Linked DNA regions of Callithrix jacchus. The protein of the gene in region 1 purifies or fractionates together with the protein of each later gene. This does not show direct contact. Links are inferred from orthologs where the notes say so. Each region holds a gene or a part of one and is shown on either strand. Other genes may lie near its edges.

Evidence for each region. Proteins that work in one complex are often made in the same cells at the same time.
Region 2: the proteins of NEUROG3 (region 1) and C1QBP purify together in Homo sapiens (affinity purification with mass spectrometry; 3 studies listed by BioGRID and IntAct, counting the BioPlex papers as one, with this or other methods). This does not show direct contact. The link is inferred for Callithrix jacchus from reciprocal best matches to the Homo sapiens genes NEUROG3 and C1QBP.

What each region holds. Positions count from the first base shown.
Region 1 is NC_133513.1:60,518,171-60,525,710, reverse strand, and holds the start of NEUROG3 (neurogenin-3), read right to left. Parts: upstream 4,355-7,540; 5' UTR 3,990-4,354; coding exon 3,342-3,989; 3' UTR 1-3,341. UniProt on the Homo sapiens protein: Acts as a transcriptional regulator. Together with NKX2-2, initiates transcriptional activation of NEUROD1. Involved in neurogenesis. Also required for the specification of a common precursor of the 4 pancreatic endocrine cell types.
Region 2 is NC_133506.1:106,965,832-106,973,225, forward strand, and holds the start of C1QBP (complement component 1 Q subcomponent-binding protein, mitochondrial), read right to left. Parts: upstream 5,136-7,394; 5' UTR 5,043-5,135; coding exon 4,802-5,042; intron 4,248-4,801; coding exon 4,097-4,247; intron 1,314-4,096; coding exon 1,220-1,313; intron 1-1,219.

The DNA of each region.
Region 1 (7,540 bases):
GCATTGTCCTCCGACTGAGGCCGGCTGGGGGTGGGGTGGGATGGGGGCAGGGCACCATAAATCTACCTGCTTGTGTGCCAGCGCGGCTGGGCTTGGGGGAGGCGCAAGATTCATGTGCTGTTTTTCTGGAAGCCAGTCTTGGGCTCAAACAAAAGCAGAAGACGAGGGAGGAGCCATTCGACCCAAGGGTCTTTCCTGTCCGGGTTTCGGACACTGTTGGGAATTTCTGGGAGCTTGGGCGCGGGCGGCGATCTCAGACTGAAGGAGAGGCTCCGCGGCGGAGAAGCGCTGGCTGACGCAGCATAGGCGGGCTCCGGGCAGAGACCGCTAGTAGCGCGGTTTTAAAAGCCCCTGGATCAAAAAGGCCCTCAGGAGGTGGAAGGCGCGGGAGCAGTGGTGCAGAACTAGTGGGATAGGCCACTCCTAGAAATGTTTCCGAGCCCTTCTTGCTGAGGGGTTCTTTGGAAAGAAGCATGGAGGTTTCCCATCCTAGCCTGATTCTACACACCTAGATGAAGCTCATCCAGCACCGAACCCTGAACTTTGCCTCCGTGATTCAACCAAACCCTAAACCTCCTCCGCCTTCTCCAGACTTGGAGAGTGGGGTTGACAGCCCCGGAGGTCTAATCCGCCCCGACCCAAGGTGGCGACCCAGCAGCAGAGTTGGTTAACCCGTACGAGTGTGTTTTAATTTGTGGGGCGGAGGACCAGTCTGTGTGTGTTGGGTGACTAATGGCTCCTTAATGAGCGACCTCGAAAGCAGGAGAGGAACTGGGCTGTGGGACACACCTCACCCGGTTGCCGCCTGGAGAACGTTAGTTCAGCAAATGCTCCTCCAGTTTCTAGGGTTCGTTTGTACCCAGGAAGTCCCCTGCCTAGATGATGAACACTACCTCACACAGCCTTACACAGGAAGAAGATCCTTCCACTTGAAGAATTCCTCTTCAAACCTTTAGTCCTGGCTCAAATGCCACCTCCTCCTGCAAGCCCCCAGCATGCCAGCCCCAAGGTGACAGTATTATGGTCCATTCTGTGGCTCATACCTCACCCAACCACCAGTATTTCTTGGGCTTTGATTTTGTCTATATCCTTGCTGCTGTTCTGCGAGGACAGAGAGACCTTTTTGATTTTTATGTCTGCCCACCTCCTCCCCCCAATGCCCAGCAAATCGCAGGTGTTTGCTTGGTTTGTGCAACTCCCAAGCTGCTGACACCTGTCCCTGGGCAGTGCCCCAGGTGGAAAGTTGGCTATTGCAGAGGTTACCAATAACCCATTAATCTCCTCCTCTCAGATTAAAGCCACAAAATGAAACAACACCTTCGTTCATTCGTTTGTTTGCAGTGTCCCTCTTCCCGCCCCTAAATCCTGCCCTGATAACGAGACAAGTCTCCTCCAAGCTAACTTTAGAGATTTGTGATAAAGAAGAGGAATATTTCAATTTGAATTGGGTAGGGCAGAGGAGAAAAAGAGAGATGCAAGAGGCATTAACCCCTGAGAAGACACCACCTTTGCACTCTAATATGCTGGAAAAGCAACCTCTCCACCAGCTCCTGGGAGCTGGGTTGGCCCACTTCTTCCCAGGACATCCCTGGCTGACTAAAGAAGGCCTCTGGAGTTCAACTAGCAGGTATTGTTGCCCGCCTTCCACTTTCCTGTTCCCAAGCTGCAGGTGAATTCTGTGGATCCTTACAGTGTAGACCATATTCTCTGAGGTCCTAGGGGTCCCTGAAGTCATATAGGGGTGCTCTACTGATTTCAGTCCCCATGCTGACCAATCCTATTTCACCTTACCAGTAAGAGAGATGGTGTGGCTGGAAACCTTCAACAGTTTCTTGGTAAGTTTTCAATCAAGGCTTCTATGTGATGAGGGTGGGGGCATTGCCAGAGATTCCAAGCAGACCCTCCACTTTCTTTGCTCCTGGCTGCTCAGCTCCATGAGTTCAAGACACAGCCACCCCAGTGCCTGGGGAGTAAAATATGCTCCGGGGATGTACTAGGCCCCAAAGCACCTTGGGAAAATTCCTAGGACGCTCAGCCTGGCAGCTGTGTTTCCGAGGATTCCGACTCTGCCATTGAGTTATTACTGTCTGCCTCCCTCAAGTGCAACCAACAGTTGCTCTAGAGCTAGGCTGGTGGAACCGGGGAAGGGGCCGGCAAAGAGAGTCAGTAGTCCTAGTTGGAGGCTTGTCTTTCTTTTAAACTGCTCTTTGAAATTAAAGCAGTCATTGCCCCAGAAAAAAAAAGGGGGGGCTGGATCAATAATTACTCAGAAGACTTCCAGCATTCCAAATGCAATCTGCCCTGCCTCTGGCCCAGACCTCCAGAAAGAGTGTCATCTGTCTCCTTGCTTGGACAGAGGTGCTCTTCCTCAGCTGCAGAGACTGTGACACTCCTCTTCCTGGGGCACAATGGAGTCACCTTGCTGAGCCTTCTTGAAGGTCCCCACCTCTTTTTATTGGCTTAAAATCTCATCCAGCAATCCCTAAATAATCTAATATACAAAATATAGAGTTTTACCTGCGGTGAAATCTCATTAATAAATACAATTATGTAAAATGGGGGAGGGGCCATATAATTTACTGTACCAAAATTCATTTCTAAAGACATCATATAATTTACAAACCGATTAAAAAAAAAAAAAAAGATGCGTGGTGCTTCAGGCACCTGCAGCGCCGCTCACGTTTCAGGTGCAGTTCGCAGGGAGGCTGGGGAGGTGCTCCCTGGCCCGGCTAGCGCTTTCCCAGTTCACAGCCTGGTCTTCCGCCCCGGGAGGGCAATGGCTCCGAAAAGTGCACGAGGAGAAGACAGAGGATCGCCTTCTTGGCTTTAAGGCAGAGTGAAACGCTCTGAAACCCCGGACCTGATTGGGAGTAGAGGAGAAGATCCGCAGCGTCTTTGGAGCCGGGCAAGGGGAGCAAGCGCTAAGAGACCAAACATCGAATCACTTTGGAGGAGGGGTGGCAAGAGACAGAGGGGCAGGCAGACTCGAGCGCGGGTAGGGCGACCAGAGACGGTGGGCGGCTCCAGCCAGGTAGTGCTATCATTCTCGTATACTTTGAATGAGATTTTGGGGTGGTGGCAGGGAGGAGGCCTAAAATCAGCTAAGCTTGCAATGCCCACTTCGCGCGGGCAGCAGCAAGGTTTGTGTGAGTTGGCGCGGCTCGGAGGGCCCGGGAATGAACCCAGCCTGCGGCCCCCGTGGGTCCTCCAGGGGTCAGCCAGGGAAAAGCAGAAGGAACAAGTGCTCTTGAGGGCCGCCGCCGTCGCCCACCCTCGACGGCTCCGGCTCCCTCCCTCTCCTTTACCCTTAGTACCCACAGCCCAGAGACCAGCAGGTCCCTTCACAGAAAATCTGAGAAAGCCATAGTGCCTGGGCGCAAGCAGCCGGAAGAGGTGGCCCCTCGAACCCCGGGGCCCTCCTCCAGCGACGCGGCGGGGCTCAGGCTGCCAGCCTGGGAGACTGGAGAGTAGAGGGAGCCCCAGTCCCCGGGGGAACTGCCTTCTGGGCTGCCCAGGTCCCCGCAGTGCGACGCAGGCGACTCCAGCGCGTAGAAGCTGTGGTCTGCTATGCGCAGCGTTTGAGTCAGCGCCCAGATATAGTTGTGGGCGAAGCGCAGCGTCTCGATCTTGGTGAGCTTCGCGTCGTCTGGGAATGTGGGCAGGACGCCGCGCAGTGCGTCCAGCGCAGAGTTGAGGTTGTGCATCCGATTGCGTTCGCGGTCGTTGGCCTTCTTGCGCCGACTCCGTCGCTGCTTGCTCAGTGCCACCTCGCTCTTAGGACGGCTGCGCCCCCCGCGCCGCGCCCGGAGTTTCCTCGGGGCTCCTCTGCAGCCTCCGCCTTCCGCCTCCACGCAGTTCCCCCGCGTGAGAGTGGGGCTGGGCGGGGCGGACGTGGCGCAGGTCACTTCGTTGTCCAAGGCTTTGGGGAAGGGCCGCTCCGTCTCACCGGTCACTTGGACAGTGGGCGAACCCGAGGGATGAGGCGCCATCCTGCGGCGGGGTCAGAGGGAAGAGTAAGCTTGCGTTGGTCACCAGGCGCAGCCCCCGATTCCGAGGCTAGGTGGGAAAAAACAGAATGAGCCATCCTCCCAGCCCCCGCTGGGTCAGAGGATCCCTCTTTCCCCGACTCGTCCCTTGGCGGCCTCCAAATGTTACCTTTCTACCGGTGCAAAATAATAGAGAGCGGTGAGCAGCGAGGGCCGTGGGGAGCTGAGCAGGCTTCTGGTCACCAAGTTCAGCTGAGCTGCAGGCGCCCCTGACTGGGAGTTGCCCCAGCCCCAAAGAAGAAAAGAGCGAATGGGGTCCCGGGACTCTGTCGCCCTCTCTCTTGAGACCGCGGGGTTTCCTGAGCAGCAAGTCGTGTGCCCCTTGGCACGCTTTATCTGCTCGGCCCGGGCCTGGAGCGTGCCTGCCCGGCTGCTGCCCGCGCCACCGGCCAATCAGCGCCAGGGCCCGGGGGCCGCGCCACGCGAGCCTGCTCCTCCCCTGCAGGGCACAGCTGGATTCTGGACAAAGGGCCGAGGTCGGGGGAGGGGAGCGCCGCTCTGTTTGCTCTCTCGCCTCGGGCTGGGTCCCAGCAACTCTCGGTTCCTCAAAGAGCCTCGCCCAGCGAGAAGAGCCTTGTGTGGCTCGCGTCAGGCCACTCCAGACCGCTTTGCTCCTAGCTATCTTACCTTGGCATCCGTCCTGAAGGGGACTTTAACGCGGTACAATCCCCGCACGTTAGACACGGGGGAAATTTAGGCTCAGTGAGGGAGATGACTAGTCCGAAATCTCACAGTAAGGTAGTGGCAGAGACAACCAGGAGCTCGTCGTCCTGACTAGCAGCCTGGAGAAGGGTCCAAGAATTTTAAAGAGCACCCTGTTCTCCTGGTGCTCTTTAGAATTGCCTCTCTTCAACTTAGAAGGGAAGACAGGGGCCATCACGGAGAGCGATCCAGCCTATGTCCCTTCCATTCACAGACCTTCTTTTAGGGGTGTTGGAGCCTCTGCCACAGCCTGAGATGCTACCTCACACTCCCCAGAGGTGCTTAGAACCCCACCCCCATAGATCCCACTCCAGAGGCAGAGGCTGGCTGTGGGGGACCCTCAAGGGAACATTCCATTACTACAACTTGTGGATAGTATCCCAGCGTTCTGGCTAGGAACTGTGACAGGAGGAGTTCTGGGAAGTGAGGTGTGTGTGTGTGTGTGTGTGTGTGTGTGTGTCAGGGTCTCCTGTTGCTCAGGTGTGATTGCAGTGGTGCAATCACGGCTCACTGCAGCCTTGATCTCCTGGGCTCAAGCTATCCTCCCACCTCAGCCTTCCGAATAGCTGATACTACAGGTGTGCATCACTGTGCCTGGCTAATTTTTTTTATCTTTATTTTTTATAGAGACGGGCGTCTTGCTTTGTTGCCCAGGCTGGTCTTGAACTCCTGGGCTTAAGTGTTCCTTATACTTCAACCTCCCAAAGTGCTGCGAAACAGAGCCGCTGCACCCCTCCCCCTTGTGTATTTTGAATCACCACGGTGTGCAGGCACTGGAAGCAGATAAACTTTTTCTCCCCTTCATCCTCTGGTCCAATCACAGACAGCGGCTGCCAGCAGTCACCTGCTCCAGCCCCCTGCCTCGGAAAAACTCAGGCAGCGCACAGCGAGCACAGGGCAGGAACTCTCCAAGGCCCTCGGGTTGTCCCTGGTAGCGCTCTCTGGAAATCTTTCCAAAGTGAGTCTGAACGCATCACCCCTCCTTTCTTCCCCAGCCCCTCCTTCTTGTCCCCGCCTGGGACACCCCGTGGTCTTCTGCTTCCGGTCACTCAGGGTGAGGGGTTGCGGCTTCCGCTTCTCTCTCTTGACCCGGTCGTGCCTGGAGGAAGAAGCCGAGGCTGGGGGTGAAGTCTCCCGGTTTAAGTGTCCTTAGGCGATGAAGCCTTCGTTTTCTAGCAGGTCCAGATACCCTGAGTCTCCCGGAAACTGCAGGCGGGTACAGGACCCAACTGCGGGGCTGAAGGGTGAGGTGAGGGGAAGAGGTAGGTCTATGAGCCTGCCCTAGTGATAGCCTCTTACCACCCGGGCTGCTTGGGAGACAAGTTTTCCTCCAAGGAAGAGGGTGATATGCCCAGGAATCAGCAAGAGGGGGGGTCAAGGACTGGGCGGGGGTGTGGCGAGGTCCTGCCGGTCTTACCTGGTGCTCTGTGAGCAGAGGCTCCTTCCCTTTCTGTGGGGAAATACAGCCTGAGGCCAGGGTCAGAACCAACAAAGGGACCACCTGGGACTGTTGGGTTAACATTTGCTGCAGCTCCTCTCTTAGGTCACCACTTGCTAGGAACTTGTCTTCTTGTATGGGAATAGGAATTCCAGGCCCTCTTTAAAGATGAAAAAGTCAAGGCCCAGAGAGGGGGAGTGACTCTCTCAAGGTCGCACAGCAAGTTCTATCTGGACCTCATAGAAGTCATATCTTAAGACTCCTAGTCCCAGATTTTCCCTTGCACCAGCTACCACTCTTTGATTTGAGGGAAAACCTTTTTGTTTTTCAAGGCAAATCAAGAGACCCCAAATGCAGAAAATAGAAGTCCTGAGTCTGGGGGTCAGATTAGAAAAGGAGTAATGGTCCATTTTCCAGGCAAGGGGAGCCAGTGTCCATTCCTCCTCCTCCTCTTCATCCTCCTCATCCTTCTCCTGCCCTTCCTCCTCCTCCTCCTCTTCCTCCTCCTCCTTCACCCTCTCTTCCTCCTCCTCCTCGTCTGCCTCATACCCCAGCCTTGCTTGATTTATTCACCTGCGAATTAGAAACTGGGAGATAACTAACTTAAAGCTTTTTTGATTTGGGAGAGAAAATCCAAACCATGCTTATCTAGGGTCTCCTGACCTGGCTAAGCTCCCTGGAGGGAACCCTGACCATGAAGGCACCGCTCTGGTTTCCCAGAGTCCTGAAGAGCCTCCCACAGCGTAACTCTTATCTGGCGGTGGATCTCAGATAGGAGTGGATGTCGCTCTAGCTGGGGTCTGCCTTGAGCTGCTAATGGATAAGGACAAGGTTTGCAGGGCGAGCTTCCCATGACAGGAAAGTCTCTGGGGATTCTTTCAAGCTTTCTTGATAGGTAGAGAATTATAGGGCCTGCTTGGAATTCTTATCCAACCTCCCCTAAACCTCTCCGGCTCAGGGCCCTCCAAGGCTTGCAGGTCTCCATCACGCCTGCTTTGCGCAAAAAGCAGGGCGGGGAGCGCACGGTGTCTGGGGTCAGCCGCCTTCTTGAGAGACGCCAGGACGTTCCGCAGCCCTCCTCAGGCCAGGAGGCCAGGGCCGAAGTCGAGGAGTCCTAGGGGATTAGAGATTGAGGATCCATGCTCTCTCTCTCAGCTGCAAGGGCGCACAGACCCCTCTCCAAATTTAATTCCTGTGCCTTTGGCAGCGGAGGCGCAGGCGGTGATGACTCCGTGCGCACCAGCAGTGTTTGCGAAATGGCTCTTCCCGCAGAGAGCAGAGTTTGTTCCTGCAGCTCCTGGTCATCCACCGCCCCTAAGACCTCCGGAACTCCCGCATCCCTCCGTCCCCTGAG
Region 2 (7,394 bases), on another chromosome or scaffold:
CTGACGACAGCGAGACTGTCTCCAAAAGAAAAAATAAATAAAAGGATACCAGCCTCAGCCATGTGCCAATTAACTGAGTTTCTATCAGTCCCTTAACATTCCAAGCCTTTTTCTCCACCCATATACTGCAGAAAGTTTCAAGATCTCTTTCCAGCTTGACTGTTCCAAGAGTCTTCATAAGGGACCAGGGTCAAAGGCTGGGGAACCTGGTTAAATGGCCATCCTTATGGCTGAATGACAGCACCAACTTTTACTGATGGTGAGCTCTGGGAGCAGACTAGGTCCAATGTCAGGGAAATGATAGTTGGGGTGGCTGGGAAAGAAGCATACCAGAGAGCTATGCTGACCATACCAGGTCATGAAACAACACTGTACTGATGGCTGCTTTGGCAGAAGCTCTAGGGACTCTGGCTCTCATACTGGCTGGCTACTAGGCCGGGCACAGCACTTCTTAAAATGTTGGAAGAGGCTGGGCATTGGTGGCTCACGTCTGTAATCCCAGCACTTTGGGAGGCGCAGGTGGGCGGATCACTTGAGGTCAGGAGTTCAAGGCCAGTCTGGCAAACATGGTGAAACCCCATCTGTACTAAAAATACAAATATTAGCTGGTTGTGGTGGTGCATGCCTGTAATCCCAGGTACTCGGGAGGCTGAGGCTGGGGAATCACTTGAACCTGAGAGGCGAAAGTTGCAGTGAGCAGAGATTGCACCACTGCACTCTAGGCTGGGCAATGGAGTGAGACCGTCTCAAAAAAAAAAGTCTCCCTATCATGGGAAAGGTTGAGACTGTTTCATATCCTTTCCATTAAGAGAACACTGTCCTCACTTCATCTACTTGACTGTAAGCAACATATTCGGTCCCTGGGAAAGAAAAGGGAGCCACAGTGCTGCTAAAGCTGGTCAGAAACCACTGATTCCTCCTGCCTCAGTCTCCTGCATAGCTGGAACCACAGTCATGTGCCACCATGCCCAGTTAATTTTTTTTTTTAAATGTTCGTAGAAGCAGGGTCTTGCCATGTTCCTCAGGCTGGTCTCAAACTCCTGGCCTCAAGGGATCTTTCCAGCTTGGCCTCCCAAAGGGCTGGGATTATAGGTGGGAGCCATGGGCCTAGCCTTAGAGGATTTTTTTTTTTAATGAACAAAGAAAAATGCTCCTCCTCTCAGCCCCAGTGACAGCCTGTCAGAACTTAGGTAAAAGCTGATTACAGTGTTAAGCTTACCTCCTGTTCTTCAACCTTCTGCCCTTTCGAGGGTTCCTCCTCACCATCAAATGTTGGTGGGATGCTGTTGTTAATATTGAAAGTGACAGTGATTCTAAAAGGGCAAGAGACAACAGACAAGGCGGAGTTTTAACTGAGTAGGTTAACACATATACATGGAGGTCTGCTACAGTTAAAAAGGCCTATTGAAACAATGTCTCTATCCTGGCTGGCTGAGTTTCATGCAGAACTTCAAACAAGGTTGGCTGCCTACCTCCAATCCCCAGTGACTCAGCAGGTCTGAAGTGTGCCTACCATGTGACAGCTGCTGGAAGCCAAAGCTGGCCTCAGTTTATCTCAGCCAAACAAATCATGCATGAGTTACTCCCAACAGGCCAGTATCCCAGGGCTCACTACCGTGTGTTGACTGGGCATCTCATGTCCATAGTTGGCAGACCCTGCTCACCCTGGTCTTTCCAGGGAATGCTTGGTAAAAGTAGGGACCTGAGAAGCTGGTGAGATGGACCAGAAGCCCCTTTAAGAGCCTTCCCCATCAGAAAATCTGCCCTGCAAGGAAAGGAAGGAGCAATGGAGGGTGAGAGCATCCTGGCCCCAGGAGTGGGGATGCCTCACAAAGAACAAAGGCTGTAGTAAAGTCATTCTTCAGAGTACTTATGGGAAGTTTTATCATCACAAAGCAGGCCCGAAAAACCAACTAATGACAATTTTAAGGTGCAAGAATCCACACATGACAAATCATATTCCAAAGTTTGAGTCAAAATTCCTGAGGTTCAGAACATGAGGTTTAGAACTAGACCTGCTGGACTACGCAACTTGGGCAGGTACTATTCAAGAATACATTAAGTGCTGCCCCCTCGACTTGTGCTAACTAGCTGCTGTGCCATGAAGTCACTTTTCCATAATAACAGTGGCAGTCTGAAGTTGACAGAAATCTATTTAATTCTAACTGTGCTGACCAAGCTGAGCTCCTGCAATGATGTTCGTCACTGTTATTTTTAATGGCCCTCAAATAGCTGTGAAAAGCTTGTGCAAATGGTTTTTAAATGATGACACAACTGACCTGTGTATGGGAAAAAACACGCTATGCAATAGGCAAAGCGAATCAGGACCTTACTTTACACCATACTCAAAATGGATCGGAGACCTAAACTAAGAGCTAAAACTAGAAAACGCTTTGAAAAAAATAAGGCATCAATCTTCACAACCTTGGATTAGGCAGTGGTTTCTTGGATGTGACACTAAAAAAGCACAAGTTGCACTTGGTGAATCAAAAGCAAAGTAAAAAGTAAAAAAGCGCAAGTGACCCAAAAAAAAAAAAACAGGTTAAAATGAACTTCATCAAAATAAATAACTTTTGTGTCAGAGGACATTACCAAGAATGAAAAGAAAACCCACAAAATGGGAAGTAATACATGCAAATCATTAATGTGATAAGAGAATTATACCCAGAATAAACTAAAGAACTCTTAAAACCCAACAATTAAAAAGGTAAATAGGCTGGGCAGCGTGGCTCACACCTGTAATTGGAGCACTCTGGGAGACCTAGGCAGGTAGATCATGAGGTCAGGAGTTCAAGACCAGCCTGGCCAACACTACAACACAGAAATTAGCCAGGCATGCGCCTATAATCCCAGCTACTCAGGAGGCGGAGGCAGGAGAATTGCTTGAACCCAGGAGGCAGAGGTTGCAGTGAGCCGAGATCCTGCCACTGCACTCCAGCCTGTATGACAGAGCAAGACTCCATGGGGTAGGGAGAAAGCTGCATATTGTAGGACTCTGTTTATATGAAATGACCAAAAGAGGCAATCTATAGAGAAAGTAGATTAGTGATTGCCTGCAGTGGCTAGATGGAGGAATCAGGAGTGACTGCTAATGGTATTCTTTGGAGATGACAATAATGTTCTAGAATTAGTTAGTGGTATCTGATGCATAATTTTATGAGGACTAAGAAACAATTTAATAAGCTTCAATAAATGGGTAAATTTTATGGTATATAAATTAAATCTCATTAAAGCTGTCACTTAAAAAAATAATTAAAGGCTGGGTGAGGTGGCTCACACCTGTAATCCCAGCACTTTGGGAGGCCAAGGTGGGCGGATCATGAGGTCAGGAGATCAAGACCATTCTGACCAACGTGGCAAAACCCTGTCTCTACTAAAAATACAAAACTAGCTGGGTGTGGTGGCGCATGCCTGTAATCCCAACTAACTCAGGAGGCTGAGGCAGGAGAATCGCTTGAACCTGGGAGGCAGAGGGTGCATTGAGCTGAGATCATGCCATTGCACTCCAGCCTGGGCAACAGGAACCAAACTCCTCTCAAAAAAAAAAAGTTATATATACATCATAAGGTCTATTATAAAATAATTCAATTTTAAAAACCTGGAAGATACTAAGTGTTTATCTGTGTAATAAGATTATGGATGACTATAATGCAAAAAAATTGTAAACACTTCAACAGTTAGCTTAGAAGGTGGGAGAGCTGCCTTAGGTCACAAACTCCCAACCTCTGATGGCAGCCCTGACTACAGTGTAACCCCATTCTGTTACACAGAAGTTACATGTTGCATTTTCACCCACTCTGGACATTAAGAGACCAGGGTCCTACTTTACTGGCGCTGTAAACCAGAGATCAATCTGATTCTGCCAGTACTTTTTTGTGTTCATTTTTGTCTCCTTAGTAATCAGCCCACAGCAAATTTGTGTTCAGTGAATCAACTATCTGGAACTTATAAATTTGTCCAAATGAATCCTTCACTCGCTTGAAAACCATTTATCAAAGAATCCACACCTGAACTCAAGGCTCTTCTGGGGATGATCCACGACGGGTCTTGCAGGGTAATGGAGTTGGTGCCCTGGAATCCCCAGACCAGTACTTACGTTTCCCCAGCAACTTTCTGCACTAATTTAGCTTCTGTCCCATTCAGTTCCAGCTCCCAACCTCCAGACATCTTAGGGAGGGTTTTATGCTTCTGGATTTTTCTTTCCTCCTTAATTTCATCACTCAGGAAATCAACAAAAGCTTTGTCTCCTAGAAATCCAGATACATTAAAAGGGAAGCCAGTTAGTCTAAAACATAAAATTATTACCCAAGTTATTGTAGCCAGAAATCTGGCCTGTTTCTAATCTCTGCTATTATGCTTACTCTGGAAGCCTCAGTTTCCTTATCTGTAAAAATAACACAATAGTATTGCGAAGCTAAGGACGTCCAACAGCGAACGCATTGCCACCTTCTGTTGTAAAGCAGAAGAACTTCCAGGCATCCTCTTCCACTGCCAAACGATTTAACTATGCTATTTTCAATCACGACCTTGGGCTTTCCCAAAGGTCCACTTTTGAGAGACTAAAGCTAAGGATAGAGGTACCCTCTAGTATTTATCTACCCCGTTCCAACAGAAAATGAAACTTGTGGAAAGGCGAGGTGGGGAAATATGATCACACGTGGGTTTAACCCGCTGGTTGCCAATCAATGGAATAATGTCCCAGATCTCGGAGGTCGGTTGCAGGCGCCACTCCTGGTCTACGTTTTTCTTTCGTAGACCGCAAACCCCAACAACAGCCCTGGCCCACGAGCATGAACCTCACCTTCGGTGTGCAGCGCGCCGCAGCCACAGCCGCAGGCGCAGGGCCCGCGAGGCCGCAGGAGGCCCGGCCGCTGCTCGGAACCTGCGCGCACGCTGAGCAGCCCGAAGGGCCGGGCGCAGAGCTGGGGCGCCGGCTGCAGGAGCTGCCGGAATGGCGAAGCAGGCGAGGCGGGAGCCGCGGCGCGGAGGCCGGCAACGGAGGAGCCCAGTACACGGGGCACGCAGCGTAGCAGAGGCAGCATCGCGGAGAGGACTAGGAACACGTGCAGACGCAAAGGACTACCCAACTCTAGGCTCCCCGCGACCTAGCCCGCTGCCGGAAGCCCCGCCCCGTCAGGAAGCGCTTCCCGCGCCGGCGCTCTGAAGACCTAAGGCCAGTGGGAGGAATCGCGCCCTCTGCTGGAGACCTCCGGTATAGCCCGGGAAGCCTCGAATTTTTTCCGCGAGCTTTCTTGCTGCGTTAGCCTGAGGCCGCTGTCCGAAGCTGTTTAATTCCCTTCGGTGGCTGCTTAGACATTTTCCATCTACTGGTCTCAAGCCACACCGTTTTTGGGCTGCGTGGAATGCACTCTTGTCTCCCCTCAGCTCTTACCAGACCCTTACACGGTCACTTTCCTCTAGGAGGCTGTGGTGTTTCTGTGTGTGTGTGTACAGGTTTTCATCCACAGTTCCTGGCTGTGGTGTTACAGTGTGTGTGTGTGTGTGTGTGTGTAGGTTTTCATCCATAGTTCCTGGGAGGCTGTGGTGTCACGGTGTGTGTATAGGTTTTCATCCAGTGTGTGTGTGTGTGTGTAGGTTTTCATCCACAGTTCCTGGGAGGCTGTGGTGTCACGGTGTGTGTATAGGTTTTCATCCAGTGTGTGTGTGTGTGTGTGTATAGGTTTTCATCCACTGTGTGTGTGTGTGTGTGTGTGTATAGGTTTTCATCCACAGTTCCTGGCTCTTAACTCTCACAGCCCTTGTTACAGTGTTCTGTGATAATGTTGGGTGTGTTAGGCCTCAGAGAATAGAATCTCTCTCCCCTCCTCCTCCCCTTTCACAGGCCCCATAGCGGGACTCTCATCTCCCCCCACATTTCTGATTGTGGGTCTTAAGTCCCTCCCCAGAGAAGGTCCCACCCTATACCTTGGGGAAAGAGATGCTGAAGTTTGGAAGCTTCCATAAAAACCCAAGAGGACAGGGTTTGGAGAGCCTCTGAGAGCTAAACACTTGGAGGTTCCTGGAGGGCTGTAGCCCTGGGAGGGGAGCTCATCTCCTTATCCGCATCCTCGGTCATATCCTTTACATTAAACCAGTAAATGTGTTTCCCTGAGTTCTGTGAGAGGCTCAAGTAAATTCATATAACCCAAAGAGGGGGTTCAGATTTAGATTAAGAACCAAGAATCCCACCTTCTCAGGATACACAGGACATATAAGCTACCAAGAAGGTATGGCTTACTAACTCATGATAAGACTAACACTTAATATCTTCTGAACACTCCTGAGTCACAGGACACCTTTATAAGAAAAGAAAAGCTATTTTCTAAACAATTTTCAATGAATAACGGAAAGGAGATTCAGAAAACGAGCCACACACATCATGTAAGATTAGTTTTTAATGGATTTGATCATCGGGTGCAAACTTGAGCATTATGTACAAGAGCTTTCTGTAGTTATTTCTACACAAACAAAAGCCTGAACCTACTTGATTTTTTTCCTCCTCCCTCTAGTTACCAAGGAATGCTATCTTAGATGCATGGCCTATTATCACACTGGTCTTTAAAAAAAAAAAAAAAATGCATGGCCACAGTTCCAGGCAGTTCCTGGTAGCTGGATTTAGGATTTATATATCACAGTACAGTACATAATCAGTTTTACCCACAGTGCAAAACTTGCTTCCATTCAGGCATCTCTTTGCAACTGGCAGCAATGCAGCATTAGGGTTTTTATCCAGGACATGGTGTTTGCAGTCCTGCCCCTTGTAGTAAAATATGTGTTACTCTGGGTGCTGCACACTCCATGATTACTAGAAGGCAAACACCTGAGGCATGCAATCTGGGTGGAGTGCATCTATTTACAAGAAGCAAAGAGGTATCACATCATCAGAGATTTTACCAATGGAAAAAGAGTAGCTGAGGATTATATTGCAGTGTTATTGTGAAACGTTTAACTTTCCTAAGTTTAAAGTGTACTATCCCCTGCAGCTCAATATAAACAACGATTTATTTCTTTGTAGGAATATGTGGAGTCAGATGGGTTTTCCAATCTGATTTAATCCCTGAGCAGCTATGTTAAAAGTTCACTTTTTAAAAAAAGTATTTAAAAACTAAATACTGTATTAAAACTCTACCACAATGTTACAGTGATAAACATATTTCTGTACAGAAACATTAAAGCTACTTAGAAGCTGTTTATATCCTTTACCTCTCAGGAAAAAAAAATATACATTTCTGGAAGCTGTTCAGATACTTAAGCTGGACATAAATTACCCCAAGTTGTTTTTTTTTTTTTGAGACGCAGTATGGCACTGTGGGTCAAGCTGGAGTGCAGTGGAGTGATCTTGGCTCACTGAACACTCTGCCTCCCAAGTTCAAGCAATTCTTGTACCTCAGCCT